Linked DNA regions of Caenorhabditis elegans. The protein of the gene in region 2 interacts with the protein of the main gene of each other region in a pairwise test. Each region holds a gene or a part of one and is shown on either strand. Other genes may lie near its edges. The genes, in order: zip-7, ceh-6 and somi-1.

The links.
Region 1: the proteins of ceh-6 (region 2) and zip-7 interact in a two-hybrid assay, tested with the Caenorhabditis elegans proteins (one large-scale study listed by BioGRID).
Region 3: the proteins of ceh-6 (region 2) and somi-1 interact in a two-hybrid assay, tested with the Caenorhabditis elegans proteins (one large-scale study listed by BioGRID).

Annotation. Positions count from the first base shown.
Region 1 is NC_003282.8:16,502,397-16,507,750, reverse strand, and holds zip-7 (BZIP domain-containing protein), read left to right. Parts: upstream 1-2,068; 5' UTR 2,069-2,081; coding exon 2,082-2,198; intron 2,199-2,301; coding exon 2,302-2,496; intron 2,497-3,513; coding exon 3,514-3,621; intron 3,622-4,160; coding exon 4,161-4,298; 3' UTR 4,299-4,841; downstream 4,842-5,354. Other genes in the region: Y51H4A.935 (uncharacterized protein), read left to right, coding at 588-599, 655-789, 1,096-1,131.
Region 2 is NC_003279.8:8,497,557-8,504,255, reverse strand, and holds ceh-6 (Homeobox protein ceh-6), read left to right. Parts: upstream 1-1,651; 5' UTR 1,652-1,995; coding exon 1,996-2,169; intron 2,170-4,168; coding exon 4,169-4,623; intron 4,624-4,843; coding exon 4,844-4,946; intron 4,947-5,037; coding exon 5,038-5,172; intron 5,173-5,218; coding exon 5,219-5,320; intron 5,321-5,662; coding exon 5,663-5,836; 3' UTR 5,837-6,144; downstream 6,145-6,699. UniProt on the Caenorhabditis elegans protein: Vital for embryonic development and essential for the proper function of the excretory cell. Required for the transdifferentiation of the Y rectal epithelial cell to the PDA motor neuron during larval development.
Region 3 is NC_003283.11:13,385,558-13,393,184, forward strand, and holds somi-1 (Zinc finger protein somi-1), read right to left. Parts: upstream 5,839-7,627; 5' UTR 5,829-5,838; coding exon 5,748-5,828; intron 3,934-5,747; coding exon 3,349-3,933; intron 2,921-3,348; coding exon 2,128-2,920; intron 2,087-2,127; coding exon 1,944-2,086; intron 1,239-1,943; coding exon 1,092-1,238; 3' UTR 505-1,091; downstream 1-504. Other genes in the region: Soluble guanylate cyclase gcy-34, read right to left, coding at 15-88, 289-291. UniProt on the Caenorhabditis elegans protein: DNA-binding protein which binds to the promoters of let-60, lin-14 and lin-28, possibly to regulate genes involved in hypodermal and vulval development.

The DNA.
Region 1 (5,354 bases), on a different chromosome or scaffold from region 2:
AATATTTAATAAATTCCGGTTCCTAAAAATAGTTTTTTAGCTTATTCTAATTGTCAATTTAAAATTTAAAAATATCTTAAAAACTAAAAAAGCTATTGAAAAATCGCTAACCACAAAATTATAGAAAATTAAATTTTCCACAAATTCGCAGTTGACAACTTTTTCCAAATTTATCCGGAACCAAGATAGACGTATTAGAAGTTGGTAGTGGCCGAGGTTTTTCACCTCCACGGCCACAAGGCCAACACCCCCCAACTCATTATACCCCCGTGGTCCTAATGTGGTAACGCAATAATCTGTGTGTGCGTATGTTCAAGTACACATACCCCAAAAACTTGCGTAATTTCTTTGAATTTACCGCTATTCTGACATACGGAAATTTGAATATTATCGGGGGAAACGCGTGAAAACGTATTGAATGGAAAAAAATGTTGAAAATAATTTTAATTTTTTCGTGAAACTGGGAAATAATTTTCAAAAAAAACGTGTTTTTTTTTCAAAGTCGCCAACTAAAAATCAATAATCGAAAAAATCAGTTTCGAATTTTGTTTAAAAATTCCATTCCACTGAAACGAAGAAGAAGCCAAATGATTGCACAAGTCAGTTTAAGCCTGCCTGCCTGCCTGCCTGCAAAAAATGCTCCGAAATTTACAGCTCGTGCTTCCAATTCTTGTGATTTTCGGATCTCTGGTGATGAATTGTGGCGGAAAGAAGAAGAAGTCAGCAAATTCTCCGGAAGGAACAAATAAATCAAAGTTAGGGGCTCCAAAGGAGAAGAAGGATGAAACTGTGAGTTGTGTGACCGCGACGCGACCGCAACGCGACCGCAACGCATTGTTTAATTAATTTTGCTGATTTGGGATACGTACCACAGGTTTCTGCCTTCCCTCCTATTCTGAAATGTAAGAGTTTTGCCGAACTAGGCCATTTTGGCTCAGTAGATTTACGGGGCGTTGCGTGTCGCGTCGCGGCTCGGATTTGTCCGTGTGAAGTACACGACACTTTCCCACGCGTTGTCCGGCAGGCGATTGTCAATAGAGCGCGAATAATGCAATGAGGAAGGTCCTACTTTTAAAGAAACAATTCTGATTTCAGGAAGGCAACTACGAGGAGCTCGCCGTGCCACAATAATTTTCAGGATTCTCATTTTTCACTTGAATAAACCAGTTTTATTGGGATTTTTGTGTTAATTTTTGAATTTTTGAATTGGTGCCTGTTTCATGTGAAGCATTTAACAAGTGGAATTTACAAGGGAAAATTGTTAGCAAGTTGAAGTACGAGCGTTTTTTACAGAAGAAGTAGTATCTCCTCAGCCATTGTAGCTATCAAAAAGTTGTCAACTGGGAAAATATTTATAAATTTATGTTGAACATTTTTTTAGTTGGCAACTTTTCACTAGCTCCGATACTTTTTCAGTTATGGTAGTTTTTCGCGCAAAACTCCAACTAAAATTACCGATTTTTAAGTTTGAAGGCTTATATCTCCTTAGCTATTGAAGTTATCAAAAAGATTTTAACTATGAAAATATTGCAAAATTGATTTTAAACATTTTGTTGGTTGACAACTTTTTATTAGCTCTTACACTTTTCAAGTTATGCCCAGTTTTCCCCACGGAACTCCAAGACATGCCCACCTATTGCCACCTCGTTATACATTTAGGACCACCACCAATCTCTTTTGCGGTACATTATTCAACTAACAGCAGACGGTAGTTAGTTAGTTAGAGAACAACGACGCAACGATTGCGCCATTACAGTTCAAATCATCATAAAAAGAGCCGCCCGTCTTTAGAGACCCCGTGGGCAAATGGGGGAGGAGGCGGGTCTAGTAGGGCCTGTAGAGGTGTCCTGTTTGCGTGCAGACTTTTTCTCAGCATGCGGTAGCTCATAAGTTCCGGTGTAATAGTTTGGTAACTGTTGAGTAATACGGTTTTGGTTTTGAAAATTTAAAAAAAATTCTGTTTCAAAAAAATTTGTTTTATTATAATTTTTTTCAACTTATTACTGTGTTCTTTGGAAGCTTTTTCCTAAATTTCTAGCCATTTTCCACCAATTCTCCACCAATTTCCAGATTATTTCCAGATGATGACAGACATTCAACAGCAGCTGGCTGCCTCGAGAATGTGTGATTCGGATTCTATAAAGGCATTCAATCAGATGTACGCACAGAATCCGTATGGAGCAGGAGCTTTTGATAAGGTTTGTAATTTTTTTTGGAATTTTTCTGAAATTTGAAAAAGTAAAAAAATTTTTTTACTGTTTCAAAAATGCTTTTTAACAAAAAATTAAATTTTTTTCTTAGAACTACTCCGCAGCCACTGCTCTCCCATTTTTTGCTCAACATTTCGCGCCATACGCGAATCCCCATGCCACGTCATCTTTTTCCCCGTCATCGTCTTCCACGTCATCCACCACGTCGTCTCAAAATCAGCAGAGTGGCAGCAGTGGGAGTAAGAAGAAAAAACCGGTTCCGGTGCCGGAAAATCAAAAGGATGAGGTAAGAGATTAAATGGCCGAGAAATGAGAAAACTCGGCCACCAGAAAAAAACGGCCGATCTGCTAGTGTTAGATGTGGCCGAGAAAAAATGGCGGCCGAGGTTTCCTGGATTCCTTCTGCCACAGGGTTCTGGTTTTCCTCATTGAATGTTTCGCGCTCCATTGACAATCGCCCGCCGGACAACGAGTGGGAGAGTGTCGTGTACTCCACACGGACAAATCCGAGCCGCGACGCGACACGCAATGCGACGTAAATCTATCCCAGATATGGCCGAGCCAAAATGGCCTAGTTCTGCAAACTCTTCCATTTCAATTTATGAGGCCAGAAAACCGTGTTCTGCTATGAAAATTGAACTGTTTTTTTTAATTTCCGCTGGTTTTCAAAGTGGTGGCCGAGTTTTTTCTCTAATTTCACTGCCACGAAGTTGAAAAATTGATTTTTTTAAACTGAAAATAGAGTTTTTTTCTGATTTTTCAGTGAAAAAACGTTATTTTGGACCAATTTTGCTGATTTTTCTCGTATTTTGCATTTAAATCGAGATAAGTTGACAATTTTAATGTAAAATACAAAAAAAATCAGCAAAAAAGATCCAAAATAAAGTTTTTTAGCCGTATTTTTCTTAAAAAGGCGTATGAATTAAAAAGTCGTATGAATTTAAAAAGTCGTATGAATTAATAGCTAGCCACGTGTCGATTTACGGAGGCCGTGTACTCCTCGTGGAGTTGATTTCTCTGGGTTTTCGTTTGAAAAAAGTATTTTTATGCCAATTTTGCTGATTTTTCTTGTATTTAACGTTTGAATCGGCAATTTTTGAGTTAAAAACTATAAATTATGTCATAAAATGACAATTTACCATCAAAATCCAACAAAAATCAGTGAAAATTGGCCAAAATCAAGCTTTTCAGCCGTTTTTTTTTCTTCAAAAAACCAGTGTAAACTCTTCCACGAGGAGTACACGAGCTCCGTAAATCGACAGCTAATAGTCCAAAATCCTCTCGAATAAATCCAATTTTCCAGGCCTATCTCGACCGGCGCCGCCGAAACAACGAAGCCGCCCGTAAATCCAGAGAATCTCGCAAGAAAGTCGATCAGGACAATAGTGTTCGTGTAACATATTTGGAGAGGGTACGTTTTCAAAATTTCCCATAGATAATAATCCTTTGCATCATTTTTTTTGGCGGGTTTTTTTTTCCAAAAAAGGGCTTAATTGATGACGTCATCAGTCAACAGGTGTCAGCCTGGCTACGCAATAACTTTGAGAACGCGCCCACGCCGACTTTTCCCAATTTTTCAATAAATTTCGGGAATATCAGATGGCTTTTTGTAGATAACCGACACTTTTAAAAGTACTTTTTGATAGTTTTGCAAACGCGCTCTAGTGCACACGTACAGTAACGTTTGTTCCCTTAATGGTGTTCCACTTTTCGATATGTTCACCAAGAATGGTGTTGGAAAGATTTGTTGGTTTGGAGCAGTAGGTAGTGGACGCAGTTCGGTGTGAGCACTCGTTGGATCAATTCCAGGGAGTGGCTTTTCTTTTTTGTTTCGTTAAAGTTTAACTTTACTTTTTTTTCGGACTAAAAATAAAGAGTAACTCTGATAAAAGGCTTAGTTCTGACGGCATAAAATTTTTATCAATCAATTAATAATTATTTTTTCTCCAGGAAAATCAATGCTTGCGAGTCTACGTCCAACAGCTCCAACTACAAAACGAATCGATGAGACAACATTTGCTCCTGCAAAATCCGGGCACTATAGACACTATGGACCCGATTGCCATGGCGAATATGCCGAGTTATTAAGCTTCTCCCCTCCCACACAAAATCATCTCATTCTTGCACACACATTCAAATCCTTGCTTCTGTATCGAATTTCCACACACCACCCTCTCATTGCGTCACTTTTTTTTTGTAATTTTCTGTAAAAATATAGCTATTTTTGAAGAAAAATGCATTTTTTCAAAAAAAATAAATGAGCGACTACGGTAAGCAATTCCGAGTCTGCAAACACCGTCACGGCAGAATGCACAGAAAAACTCATTTTCAAATTATTTTTCGCTCAGTTTTCGCTAATTTCTCCGAATTTTCGCGTTTTTTCTTTAATTTTTGTTAGTTTTTGATTGTATTTTGTCGATTTTTCACTCTTCGAAGCTGTACCGACTGTAATTTGACACTTTCCGCACGAAAAAATGAGAAAAATCTCAGAAAATAGGTGTATTCAGATTTTTCCCCATTTTCCTCCGATTTTCTGGGCATTTTCTGGGCATGTTTTTCAAGCTAAATTCGCTGATTTTCGAGCTAAAGCAACTTTAAAATCCAAATTCTCTAATAATAAAACAGTTTTTCAGCTTACTCGACTTTTTCCCGGAAATTTCTGAATTTTGCTCATTTTCCGAGGTATTCGTGGATTTTCCTCCCGCTTTTGACCAGAATTAATGCTGAAATTCAATTTTTCAGCTAATTGTACCCTAAAATTGGACGGAAAAATGATTTTTCCATTATTTTCCCGGCAAAGCATCACCTGAGTGATTTTTACTACTTTTTCGACGGAATATATAACGTTTTCAGTAATTTCTCGTTAAATTTCCCAAAAAACTCGTTCAAAATGCTGGAAAAAGTCGAAAAAACTCGAAATTCCAAGAAAAACCAGTTTTGAATATTTTCCCGGGGGGTACGGTAGATTTCGTCGTGTGCAAACACCGTCACGGCAAATTGCACAGAAAAACTCATTTTCAAATTATTTTTCGCTCGTTTTCTCTGATTTTCTGCATTTTTTCATTTTTTCTATAGCTTTTTCATGATTTTTTCGGGTCTAAACATCTAAAAATCACTAAAATTGCATAATTCCGCCGATTTTTC
Region 2 (6,699 bases):
AATATAAAAAATACGGTATTCAACATTTACAAAAATCAAATATAAATGAAAACCAATATACTTAAATTTTTACATAAATCCAACTAGAGTACCATTGAAATATCTATTTCGGTTATTCACAACAAAAACTCGATTCTAACTGAGTAAAAGATCATCCGAAGACAAGCGGAAATTGGCACAAGCTTTCAATCCGGCTTAGAGGAAAGCGAAATTCGAGATTTATTGAGTGGGAAGATATGGGGAAAAGTGAGAAAACGAACATCTTGCAGCTGGAGTCATAGTTACAGAAATCAAGACAAAACTTTTTTTCAAACAAAAAATAAAAAATTTATCGCGTTAATTTTGATTGATTTCAACTATTACTTGCAGATTAATAAAGTTTTGGAATACTAAAAATCTTGAAAAGCATCCAGACTTAAAAATATGTATGGGACATTTGCCTTATTTTGATCTACATAGTCACACTAGTATGAATATACAATCAAATTATAAAACATGTGCAATAAAACATGATGGAACTTCAGAAAAAAAAACTGGGTTAAACTAAGTGATAGGTCAGTTTAAGAGGCACATTTTCAACCGGAACTTCTTGACAGTTCACAGCAAATTTGAAACCAAATTTTGCAACTTTAGCGATGGAAATGTCTAAAGGATATTAAACAGCGGCAAATTTTCAAGTTGAAAGAAACGAACTCGAAATCTATTTTCCTGAAATAAAAAATATAGAAGGAACCTATCAGGGAATATAACGTCGGTGAGGAAATGAGGATGAAAGTGATGGAAGAAGAGAGAAAGGGGTGCGGGAAGAAGAGTTGAAATTCATTGCTCATGCAAATCTTATGCCGTGTGTCTCTGTATGTATTTGTATGTGTGAGTGCCTTCTTTTTCCAACCATTCTCATTCTTCGCCACCCTCATTTTTGTCTGTTTCCTTTATTCAGTTTTCGATCGTCTCAAGATTTTTGAGAAATTTCATGAAATTCGCTAGGTTTTCGATTTTTTCTACCTTCCAGAAGTAATTTTTTATTTGAAATATGTGTATTGTGTAAAGTTTTCTTGTTAAAAACTTACGGTGTCAACTTCCAACTGCTTTGGGATATTTTATTGCAAACATACACTTCTTTTTTTGTCTACTTTTCTGTCAGAAGAAAAATATATTCGAGTATGAATAACCACTGAATTTACTGTATTTTTTTAGTTTACAATCGATGAAGTTTTCAGCTGTATGGAAAAAAGATGGAAAAGATTTTTCACCAGGTTGTCAATACGTAACGCTCTTTTGCCAAAATCTATTGAAATTATTACATAATAACTATTATTTTAATTGTTATCAAGCGTTGGCTTTTTAATTACCGTCTTTCCTCTAATAGCATTACACTGTATTGCTCAACTTTGGCACCTCATATCTAGATTGTCTTTGGGTTGATCAAAATGTTAGCAACTAACAAAACATTGGGTATTTATTATCTATAGTTTTGTAAAAAAAATAAGTTGTAAAATACTTCAAAAGAACCGAAAAATAGGCTTTCAAAAAGAATAGGCGGATGCAAGATTTTACGATTGTTTTGAAACTTAGAAATCTTCCAATAATGTGTTTCTATAACTTTCAACACCTCTTCAAATAACTCCAAATAAATAAATGTATTTCTAGACACTAAACCCATATCTTCACAATTCTACAGCATCAATGTCTCATGACAGTAGGCGTGACCATCTTTACAAACATATCAAAGAATGGGCGTGTCCTGATGTCAATTCTCGTCGATTGGTTATACGATTACGGTGGCTAGACGAGACGCAGAAAGACCGCTTTCCTGCCAACACATTCCAAGTGGCTCCCGTGTGAAAAAGAGACGCAGCAAAAAGGGAAACGAAGAAGAAGAAGACCGCCCCTCTTTTGACTACTACCTCTTCCTTTTCTCTCTTCATTTTCAACACACACATCCCATCTTTTCCACAGTAGTGGCCACCCCGTTGCTCCTGGACTTCCCAACTGATGCTCATACCTTCGTCGTCATCCATACCGTCTTCTTTATCTGCTTCAGCATCCGATTCTGAGCCATCATCACTGAACGGAAGTGGTATAAGTGATCAGAATATTCTACCTAATTATCATCTTCATCATCATCTAATTAACGAGAACGAGATGGAGGCAGCCAATTATGCACAGGTTAGTTCTTCTTTTTATTCGTTTCCTCCCACAACTGATTTGATTCTGATGAGGACGACATTATACAGCGAGTAGGTCCAAAAAAGGAGGCAAGCGGGGGGGGGGGGGCACAGCATTTGAATTTCAATTTTATGCCAATAAGAATCAGCCCCTCGACTGCCCCATTCAGTTCTTCTACACTTGTTGCCTCAAACTCTAACAGTGTCTTACCGCTGTTACAAAGTTGTATATTGTACATTGTTCTGATAGATTGTTATTTTCTAGGCATAAAGTAACATTCATCTAGAAAATTAGTTGAGCTGATACTCCTATATTTTAAGGTGTCTCTGATAGTACCTCAACTGCTTGTAGATCGACAAATGATGTAGTTGTTTCTTTCATTTGTGTTCTGAAAGTATTAGGTGGAACCGTAAACCCAGAATTCTGATGTTCCTGGCAGTATAAAACTTTTTATATCCTAGACATAAAGTGCCAAGCTTCTGTAATTTAGTTGAGCTAAAACTTCAATAAAGTATTGTTTAGATTAACTACTTGTAGGAATGATAACAGGTAATCTAAATCTATATTTTCACTGGCATTAGGCTTTCATTTATACAATGTTTATTTTGTTATAAAAATTGTGAACTGTAACTCCAGATTTTTGAAATTCTTACAGAGCAGTTTTTTCATTGTGAAACTAAAATAATTAATTTGAAGTTGAAATATTAAACATTTGCTATTATAACTATAAAAAGGTCTACTAAACCGTCAAATTGGAAAATTGATTTCGAAATAATGTGGGGACTAATAAAAACTGCAAAAATTGTTTGGTGAAACCTTACCTACTTTTAGGAATAATCAACAATGCATTTAACTATAATTTTATAAAACTCTTTGAAATTTTTCTCATTGATGTTTTTTAACTGCCAATGACTTGGTAAAAGAAGTATAGAAGGCTTAAGAAACATTTTGGTCCTTGGTCAGTCTAGAATTCATGAAATCGGAGCCGTAATTTTTCATTATACTGGTTTGTAATTATATCCTTTTTAAACACCTCAATCAATATTTGTATTATTTTCCTATTCACTAATGTACCTTCCAAATATCCCAGAACAATACAGTATCACTAACACGAACTGCACGTCATCACATATCATTCTCTCTGTAAAACTTGATGACTCTTTTTCAATCCGATTATCAAAATTTCCGCCCTTTCTTCTGTTTCTAGTACATCTCTCTTCATGTACACAAACTACTACAGTACCCCTTGAGTCTCTCAAAGATCGTTGCATTCGTCTGTCTCCACGTAGATACCATGTATAATAGACTCATGAGAATCTTTGTGGGAAACAGTTATCAACAATTCAATATTATTTTGTCATGTGTGGAGCGAAAACCAACAGAAAAAGGAAGAGTTGATGATGTACTAGAGGGTAGAAAATTGGCAGATGTAGTCCCTAAGAAGGCGCCGTGCTAAAGAGGATTAAGATTGATTGGCCTCTTTTTTTCTCTAAGCTGGGTGTTCATCTGTTCAAGACTAAATTGGATCGAGGCCAAAATTGTAGGGCCAGAAAATTGAACGATTTTATATAAGCAGTGAGGGATGAAATAAGAAGCTCCGGGAACATTGTCACAGTTCATCAGAATACTTTTATTTCATTAATATGGCTGAACTTTCAAAAATTACTCGAAGGAGCTGCGACCCATAATGATGTTACATACAATCGTCTCAATCGATTAGATTTCATAATGAGATATTAAAAATCCTGATTTATGTTGCAAATTTGAACTGTGTGTTCCGTTTTTTCACTGATTTTTCACTGAATATACTTTTTTCAATTGGTAGGCGCACATACCATTTTGAATCCTTTAAAACAAGGAAAGTTATATCTTTTATTTTTAGCACACTTTTTAATAGTTTCGGAACGTTTCTTATTTCAAAAATATTTAATAAGCTGTCACTCGAAGTACCACGTATTTTCAAAAACGACATTACAATTCTAGCTGCAAAATGTTTCAGGTTATCAAACCAACATGCGAGGCATTCCAAGATTGGCCGCATACTCCAATGCTGTATCAACAACCTCAACTTCATTTCATGCTTCCACAACACGATTGGGCATATCCACATCTTGCTCAATCTCTACCTCCTCCACATCATCTAACACCGTCCACTGCAGCAGTTGCTGCTGCAACAATTGCCTCACAAAGTTCAATAATCAATCAAACGTCTGTGGTTACAAGTACACCTTCGTGCCAAATCAAACAGGAAGTTGAACGACCTGAAATTATTCAGAGGTTAATGCCTCCATGGCCACCAGCTTATCAATTTTCTTGTGATGATAGTGGATCAGTGAGTGGAGCTGGTGGACCACATCAGCCATTATCTGATATTTCCGATGATAGTGAACAGACGTGTCCAGATGATTTGGAAGGATTTGCAAAACAATTTAAGCAGAGAAGAATCAAATTAGGGTGAGTGAAAATTTTAAATGTTCTCTACACATAACTGTAAAAAGTTAAACTTTTGAAAATAACAATTTCGATATCTCAAACATTTCGAGGCAACGTTCTGTCAACCAGCTGGTACAATGCCAAAGTTGGGCAGAAAGTTATCCTCAAATTCTGATCAAATTGGAATTTATCAGTTGGCAATTCCTCATATTCTTTCATTTTCATGTTCTTCAATTTCCAGATACACACAAGCAGATGTAGGTGTGGCTCTCGGAACACTCTACGGAAATATATTTTCCCAGACAACAATTTGTCGTTTTGAAGCGCTTCAACTCTCTTTCAAGGTTTGTTGACTTTCATCCACATGACTTTCAACGGAAACTGTTTCTTGTTGCCGACTTTTCTATGTTTTAATTGAATTTAATTTCGTTATAGAATATGTGCAAACTAAAGCCACTTCTATTCAAATGGCTCGAGGAAGCTGATTCAACGACTGGCTCGCCCAATTCTACATTTGAAAAAATGACAGGGCAAGCTGGAAGAAAGAGAAAGAAGAGAACAAGCATTGAGGTAGTTTGTGTTTAAAACTGAAAAATGTTATATACCGGTGTTTCAGGTCAATGTAAAATCTCGTCTTGAATTCCATTTCCAGTCGAATCAGAAGCCAAATGCACAAGAGATTACACAAGTTGCCATGGAGTTGCAGCTTGAGAAAGAGGTAAGGATATTTTTCTATTTTCCGGAATTTTTATTACTGTGAACTTCGAATTTTTTTTACAGTAACTTGACAATGATTTGAGATTTTGATTATTATGAATGAGATTTTGATTATTAATTCATTTAATTAAAGTGTTTCTCTACAAAAAAAAGTGTCCCAATAAAATATAAAGTTTAGGTTTAAGTTTAGTTTAGTACGGTTTAAATACCGTTAATTAAAATTGCAAATGTAGAGTGTGAAAAGGGTGAAGAATGAGGCAAGTGAAAGGGGCGCCTGGAGCAAGTTAAACGCCTACCTCATTAAATTTTTCTGAAACTTCACTTTCTCAAAAGTATAATTTAGGTTGTCCGTGTCTGGTTCTGCAATCGTCGTCAAAAAGAGAAGCGAATAGCTCCAAATCAATACGATGCTCCACATCCAATGGCTTTAAACAATGGATATCCAATGACTGCTGACCTTTTCCCATATCAAGCCGTCGTCAATCATTATACTCAACAGAGCCCGAGACAACAATAGTTTTTTGTGATGCGTATTGATGTAGCAGTAATATAATAATAATAATACTCAAATGAATCACCGGTAATTTATAATGACAGAAAGTTTAATAGTTTTCAAACATCCTTCTCTGAAGAAGACCAACAGTATTTCTTTTCCCCTATTATTTTTTTTGATACAATCCTCTTCACTTCTCACATCATTCTGAAAATGGGTATTCGTTTTTTACAATTATTAATTAGTTCTATTGTGTATCATTTCTAAATTAGTTTCCAAACTTTTTATTTTGTTCGAATTCATTTATTTTATAAATATCTGTACGTTAAAATGGAAGTAGCATATTTTAATTTAGATGTCTGCTGAATATAATTATATATAACTGTCTTTTTTCAGAGTAGGTAAAAATCAGAATTTAAAAAATTCAAAAAAGGAAATTTGATCTAGAGCATAAGCTTTCGAATAACTCATATAACTTTAAAGTTTTAAAAAAGTTCAAAATTTTCAATTTTGCAAATAAAACTGAAAATTACTGAATTAATGTATTTCTCAATTGGACTTGCACACTTTTGCTCTATTATGACAGCTGTATCCGTTATCATTGTCTCAGTTGTCTCTGCATTTATCAAAAATTGTCAACTGTAAAAAGACGTGCAAAATTTTTCTCTATATTTTAATTATTACAACTTTTTGATAACAGTTAAGACATCCGATAAAAGTCTATAAGTCGCCGAGCCGTTGGGGGAAAATCTACTAGAACAACTACGGTAGTTTTGAATTCCCGCACAAATGAATGACCTAGTTGTGGGAATTTCATAAAAATTAGAAATTTGAATTTTTTGCAAATAGGAATAATAATCATAAAAAATTAGAACAATTCTAAAAAT
Region 3 (7,627 bases), on a different chromosome or scaffold from region 2:
CTTTTGAAACTCACAGAACTTGCAACCACACATCTTCACCATATTTTCGAATAACAAGTTGTCGAATACTTTCATGAATGAAACCAAACTGAAACAAGTTATGAAAGTAATAATTTCTTTAACAGAAGAACACTTTCGCCAATTATTGAATTCTATAAAATATAGTGCGGAATTAATTTCCGCTTTAGAATATTCTAAGTTTTAAACGGACGAATTCTACACATAAACTCAAATTAAATACGGGATATTGAAAGGACTGTTTTCTTTTCAATTTTATTAGAATCTTACCATTTTGAGAAGTTTTTTGAACAGCTGCAGAGAGGAATCTACTCTCGTGAAATGAAATGAATCTATCAAACATTAAATGAAATCGCGTGCCTACCAAATTATGAATATTCTAGTTGCTGTGAAGACCCCGTATCGTGAATTGTTCATGATACTACCACGATACTGGGCGGTCATATGTTCGACTTTCTATTCCTTGTAAACAAATTCAAACATTTTTTTGAGAAAATTGTTCATCTTAAAATGAGAATAAAAGTCTTTTCATAAAATGATGGCAAATCAATAGAAAAATTGTTTCCTATTTTGTGGATAAGGATGTTGGCAAAAATTATATATTTAGAGTAGCACCTGAGTAGATAAAAAGTAGAAATTTGAAGAGGAAAGAAAGAATAAAGGGAACAAGGAAATAAGCCGGGAGAAAACAAGAGGATTTTGTGAAATGTGTGTGGACCTAGCGAGAGATACAAACAATTGGTAATGGTAGGGGGTTTTCTAAACATAAAAATCTCTGAGAAGCTAACTAGACGGTTTGTTGCTAATCACAAAACATGGCACTGGTCATCGTTGGGGGAGAGAAAGATTAGAGCAAGAAATGAACAGAAGAGATGAAAGATGACGTGGCAAAAGAAACGTCATGAGCATACGGAGTTGAAACGTGGAATGAGATATGTTGATGGACCGAGACAAAATCGTTGCCTTTGTCAAAATGTATCAGAATACGATGACAGATTGAATAGTTGATAAAACGGAAAGTTAAAAATTGAGCATTTTAGATGAAAACCTTTAATAGAAATTTTAGAGAATATTTACAAAAGCATTGGTGGGGGTGGAGGTGGTGGTTGGAAGTTATTTCCATTGGAATATCCTCCCATTGAAGATGAACTGGATGCTAACGATTCAAGAAGAGCACCAGTTTCCGAGTTGAGAATGTTCTTGAAATCAATTGATTCGCTCTGAAAAAGAAACAATATTCATCTTTGATGTACATTTTTTATTGACAATGAGAGAAAATTGTCTTAATTTTGTCAAGATTTTCAATTTTTTTAAAATCAATTTTTTGTTTAATTTACAAATGAAAGCATCCATTCCCTTTAACTACCTCATTTTTGTTTTCATTCGAAACACTCAAGAATTCTACAGTATCTAAATGAGCTTCCGGTCTTTTAACTTCAGTATAGTTTATCAACAAAACCTATAGTACAAAATTGATTAGTTAGTACTACTCGGCTACTAGTTTTTACGTTTTTGTGGCAGGTAAACAACTTTTTTCAAGTAGACTGTATTTTACATTTGAAAGAATCATGTGTGGTTTGTTTCTGTTAATTAGTCGGGATAAAGGCAAAATTTTTGAAAAAAAAGAGTAGGCTAGGACATCAAATTTCAGAGTTTACAGAAATATTGAACATTAAGGATAATTTTTTGATGGCATGAGGTCATACGAGTTTTACTGTTAGACTTCAGTAAATGAACACGTCACTGAATAATGGATTTCCCGAAATTTTCGTAGGTCGAAAAGAAAGACCTTCTGAATACAAGTCAGTCAAACGGAAATTTGGAATTTTAATAACAACTTTCAGGATAAATTAATTATCCAGCTGAAATTTTTTTTTGCATTTAAAATTTTAAATTTAAACAATTCACTAACAAAAAAAACAAACCTCTTCTGTGTTGTTTTCCTTCTTCTTTCGTGGCTTCCTTCCTCTCGAGGAGTTTGCTTTATGAGCTGCCAATCGTTCCTGTAGCCGATCTCCACTGATTCCAAGATTCGAAGCTCGCATTCCTTCCAACTTTTGATCCCATTCTGAAAAAAGTAACCGTTTGGGTCGATCTCGATACTATTACCTTTCAAACTTTTAAATTCAGGCTGCGGATGGCACGTGTTTAAATGACGTTTCATGTTTCCCTTGTACACTGTCACAAAATCACAATCTTCGCAGATATAGGCATCTTGAAGTACTGCAGTTTCTGTTGATGTTCTTTCTGTGTTCTCGAGCATTGGTGTCGGGTATGGTTCGTATGCGGAATTGGAATATTCTCCTGGAGAGCACAAGTCTGAAGAGTTGGCTCCATAGAATGAGGAAGATGGAGGTGAAATTTTTGGTGAATTCATCATTCCACCACTCATTGAAGAAGAATCATGATCATTGTATTCATGTTGATACATTTCATTTTGTTCCTTCTTTACCTTCTTTTTTGGAGATTGTTTTTCATGAGCTTCAACTCGATGCCTTTTCATTGGCTCTGCACTCTTTCGACACTGATTTATATGTCTTCTGATGTTTCCTTTGTAATGACTAATAAATCGATCACAAAACGGGCAAACTGGTGACATTCCATCGGCTCCGGTGGTTATTGCTCCAGACTTGATAGCTGCATCAGTACCAGGGATCGGTGGATTCACACCTTGCGCAAGGGCATCTAAATAGTTTCTGCCAATTATTTCACGACACTTCTCATTTCGTCCAATGTGCCCCGTGAGACTTCGACGTGATGGATAGACACCTCGACAAGCCATACACATCACGCGTTCTTCGTCACCGCTTTCGAGATCAGTGTTGTTTAGATCAATCCCGAGTGGTGGAGTTCCTGAGCCAGCGGATCCAGATGACGTCAAAGCGGGACTATTCAGAGAATTCTGAAAATGGTATATTTAGCAATATATACAGGAAAATAAATATTTCTCTTTGATGTCCTACAATCCGACAATCTAAACTATGTAGTTAAATTAGATTTATCAAAATTTACATCAAATATCATAAAACAAATATCGTAGAAATATACCATTCCCATATTTTTATGTATTATTTCTAGAGATAATTTAATAAAAGCTTAGTCAACTTTTCCAGCTACATAGCCTTATTTCAGTCTCTTTTTACAACTTATTGCTTGGTTTCTGTTAGAGATTTCATTTAAAAAAATTTAACTACAGTGCTGTAGAAAAAATCAAATATTTTGTCAGCTCACTTATTGATTAAAAAAAAATTTTCAAGATATGATCTGCAGAAGATGAGCAATGCAACAAGCTAACACTTTTTAATTATAAAATTTCAAATGAAAACTCACATCGTCTGAGGGTGAAACAGTTGCAGCTGAAACAGAATTATTCCTTAATGTTTCTGCGCTACTGTTACTGGTGCTTCTATGCACTCCATTCGTAGATTTTTGTGTCGCCGGTCGAAGTGGTTCAGGTCGAAGAACTTGTTGTTGTAATTGTTGTTGTACATTACTTGCTTGTGCAACTTGAGCAGCCAATATAAGCTGTTGAGTATTTGGTACACCGGACAGAGATGGAGCATAAAATTGTTGGCCAGCGGCATAACCGGATGTCCTTGGATAATATGGACTTGAATTTGTAGAAAGCCCTGGTACTGTTGGCATGTAACCTGTCGCAGTGGCACGGTAAGCATATGGTGGATCAAATCGTACTGGAGGATCATAGGAATTACCAACCAATGGTTGAATTTGGGGTTGCTCGAAAAGAACTGATTGAGATAATTGCTTTCCAGACCATTGTTCTGGATAGACAGAATGATCACTCAACATCGCATACGTGGATCCAAACAGTTCTGATGTTCCTGTAACGGCTGACGACGACGTTTGAGCGTGCCAAGGTGAGAAGGATTCAATCTGTTGACCAGACATTTTCCCCTGAAAAATGTTCAATTATTATACTTCACAATGACCTAGATCAGTATTTTTGTACTCTTGTATGCCTCAAAAGTACTCGAGTCTGAGAAGGTGTCGCGCGAGAGGTACAAGTGGCTACTGATTCTGTGGGAAGATAAGGGAACCAGTAAACAGTATGGATGGTTCGGAGAACATAGAGAAAAATAATTTAGGTAGAGAAGGGGAAGATTAATGAATCAACCAGAGGAGAGTAAATCAGACGTGATAAAAAGTGATCATGGAAATGATTGGAGGGTCGATGGAAAGAAAGCTGCGTTGATTGGGGGGAGCGCAATGTGGTGGACACTAAAGATAAGGAGAAGTTTGAGAAATTGAGTTTAATAAAAAATTCGTGAGCTTTAAAAGAAAAAAATGAGACAGACTAATAATGTAGTTTAGTGCTTCAGAAGTATAATCTCGGCAATTCCCGGCAGCTTCTTCCCCAAGTTTGGACCTTTTCAGCTTCTTACCCAACTCTTGCCAACTTCTAACCCAGAGTATGCCCAAGTCTTACCCAACTTCAACAATTCTAGTGTAAACTCCCTCGCCCGTGTCTTGCCCAAGTCTTAGCCAAGTCTTGGCAACTCCTTATAAATGTTTTTATTTTTTGGGCAAGGCTTGGGTAAGAAGTTGCGAAGCTTTGGGTAGGAAGCTGGCGGCAAACGCCGAGAAGATGTGAAATCTATTGAATTTGAACCTTTCCAGCAAATATATGACAGATCTTTAAATTTTTAAATCCAGAATACAAAAATAATCAGAAACATCCTGTTTCCTAAAATAAAAAGTAATTACTCGGAAAGCTCGTACGTGTTCTGGTCTAGATTGATCTTGCTATAAAATAGTTAATGATTTTTAGAAAATTATCACAAAATTAATTGGGCCTTTGGAATTTGTAATAGAAAAACTTACGTAGTATCCGTACCCCAAAGCTTGATAACCATTTAAAAAAAAACAAACGTGGCCTTATTCACAAATTTAGAAATGGTAGTTTTTAAGCTTTCATGAATTTTGAAATTTAAAAAAATTATTAACATTCAAATTCAAGCAGCTGAATTTTTATTCTCAAACACGTATAACAAAACTTCCAGAACTATGGAAAAACTACTAACCGCTCTAGAACTTTTTTCGAAAATTTGCATATACAATTTAAGTTCTATCACTATTATCATAATCCGGTGGCCTCTATAGTCACAAAAATAAAAAGTAAAAGTTGGAAGTTTGGAAATTCCAACTGGTCACAAGACAACGCTCGTAAATCAAACTTTTTCATGAAAAAAGAGAAAACCGAGAGGGGGACAAAAGGTCAAATTAACTTTTAATGCTTAAGATGGCGGCGGTCGAAGCTAATTTGCCGGAGAAATATATGACAGCGAATGGTCTATGAATGTTCTGGAATTTCGACTTAAAAAAAGTAAAAAAGCTAATGAAAAATTTTGTTGAAATATAGAAACTTTCATGTAAGGTAAGAAAAATCGTAGTAGTAGTAACCCGTAGTAAGTGGAGACGTAGAGAGGAGAATGTTGCGAGATGGTATCACATTTCCTTACCCTAACGATGCATGCTATCGGTTCAAGGTCTTCCTGTGCCTCCTACAACTACCCACATACCTACAGTATTCTTTCTTGGAGACTTAGAGACGTTATGGGGGAGCGCCACGGCTCTTCTCTTCCCTCCCACCACTTGTCTGATGTTTTATCAGTGCAATGGACATTGGGGCACCCAAGGTTAATGGGCGGAGCTTTTGGAATGATTGGACCTATGACCGTATCCTTCAGTGTAGGTTAGTGAGTTCATACCTTATTATTCAAATCATTCAAGTTTTCAGCCACTTTTGTGTTGTTATTGTCGTTGCTGGTGATAATGGGTGGTTTGAGCATGCAACTCCCTGTAAGATTATGATCATTTTCTATCATCTCTTTCAGGAGAGAAGACGGAGGTGAAGAAAATGGGAAAGAAAAAAACGAGGGAAAGGGTCAAGAAAGGGATAGAGGGAGGAAGATAAAAGAGAGACTAAAATATAAAGAGAAATAGAGGAAGAGTGACCAATTTGAAAATGAAAGGGAAAGGAGAAATGGGAGGAAAAGAGAAGAAGAAGGAAAAACACAGATGATGAACTTTTTCCGATTTTCCCACGGTATCCTCTCTCTGTTCTTTTGTCAGAATTTTTTAAAGGAAAAGTAGCTTCTGGTAGTTTCTAGCTCTTGCCCCATGCTTTCAATAACCAAATCAGTCGTCCGAATTGCATGGCGAAGGGCTCCGGATGTAGATGTAGCGTCGAAGTCTTCTACAAGCCCCTCCCGAAAACTAAATTTGTGTTAGACGCTCGATGTGTATGCGGGCTCTTGTTGAGACGAACAAACTCACTTATTTGACATTTTGTTCCATGCCATCCGCTAGTCTCCACCACCAGCAATAGAAGCAACAGAAGCAACAGCAGTCACCACACTCTCCCTCCAACAATATTTTTTACAGTAGTCTAGTCAAACGGAAGGGGACGAAAAATCGTCGATCTCCGTCGTGAAAAGGTGAAACATTTCGCGCAAAGTCATGGTGTGTGTGTGGACACAACCGACTGGTCACATGAAATGTGAAAAGCCATAGAAATTCAAGGTTGAAGTTAAGTTAGCGACATTGGATAGTTTTGCTGCTATTCTCACTGCTTCTACTGGTCAAACAAAAAGCAAAGAATCGCCGCGCTAATCACGCAATATTTAAGACCTTGAAAAACTATATTTTTTGCGAGAAAATATCCTTGAAGCACGTAGTTTTGAAACAAAGGTTCCTACTGTACTGGAATCGGATATTTTTCATTTAAATTAGGGAAAAAATTTAATGAAAAAAATATTTGGAATATTGTTGAAAATTTGTTTTTTATTAAAATTTTATAAAATAAAAAAACATCTATGATTTTAGGTTTTGATTTTACTCGGGTTGGGAATTGTCATTTAATTTTTCTCTTACACTCTCTTTGAACAATATGCTCAAATTCAATTTCACGGAAGAATTTTTTTCAGTTTTTTACCGAATCATTGATATAAAACAGAACATGGCCTGAATGTGCCATATTGAAGCTCTTGCTCAACATTTTCTGGGTATATCAAATGTATGGCACAAATTATTTCTGGTTTGGGTTCATCTCTATGCTTTGCGGTAATTGGAGAGGTCAGATTATAATGCGCATGTGGTGGTTCACTGTCACATTGGCTACACCTGTCTAAGTACCTTCATATTTATAAAATCAGATTTTTGATGCTCAGAGCGGTGGTTTTAATCAGAAAAAGAATTTGAAAAAATAATAGATTGGGCCAGCATTTATCCACATAACCTCGGTCAATTAAGGTTTGCAAAAAAGTTTTTAGTTCTATGATGCTTTCATTTTCACTTGAGCTATATAAGTTCACTTAAAACTAAAACGTCTACATTAATATTAAGTTATTATTAAGGTACATAATATTAAGGTACAGAAAATTTTGAATTTTCAAAACTTCGAGGAAGTTTCAAAAATTCAAGAAATTGTGAAAGCTGTTCGAACTGTGAAACATAAAGTTCAATTCGTTTGAAAAATCGCTACATCGTTTGTGGAACCGGTTTGTCCCCCTGATGTCCACCATCTTTTCCTTCTTTCTTTGAAACTAACCATAAAACCTACTCGCAATCCAATCAAAATTCGAAACAC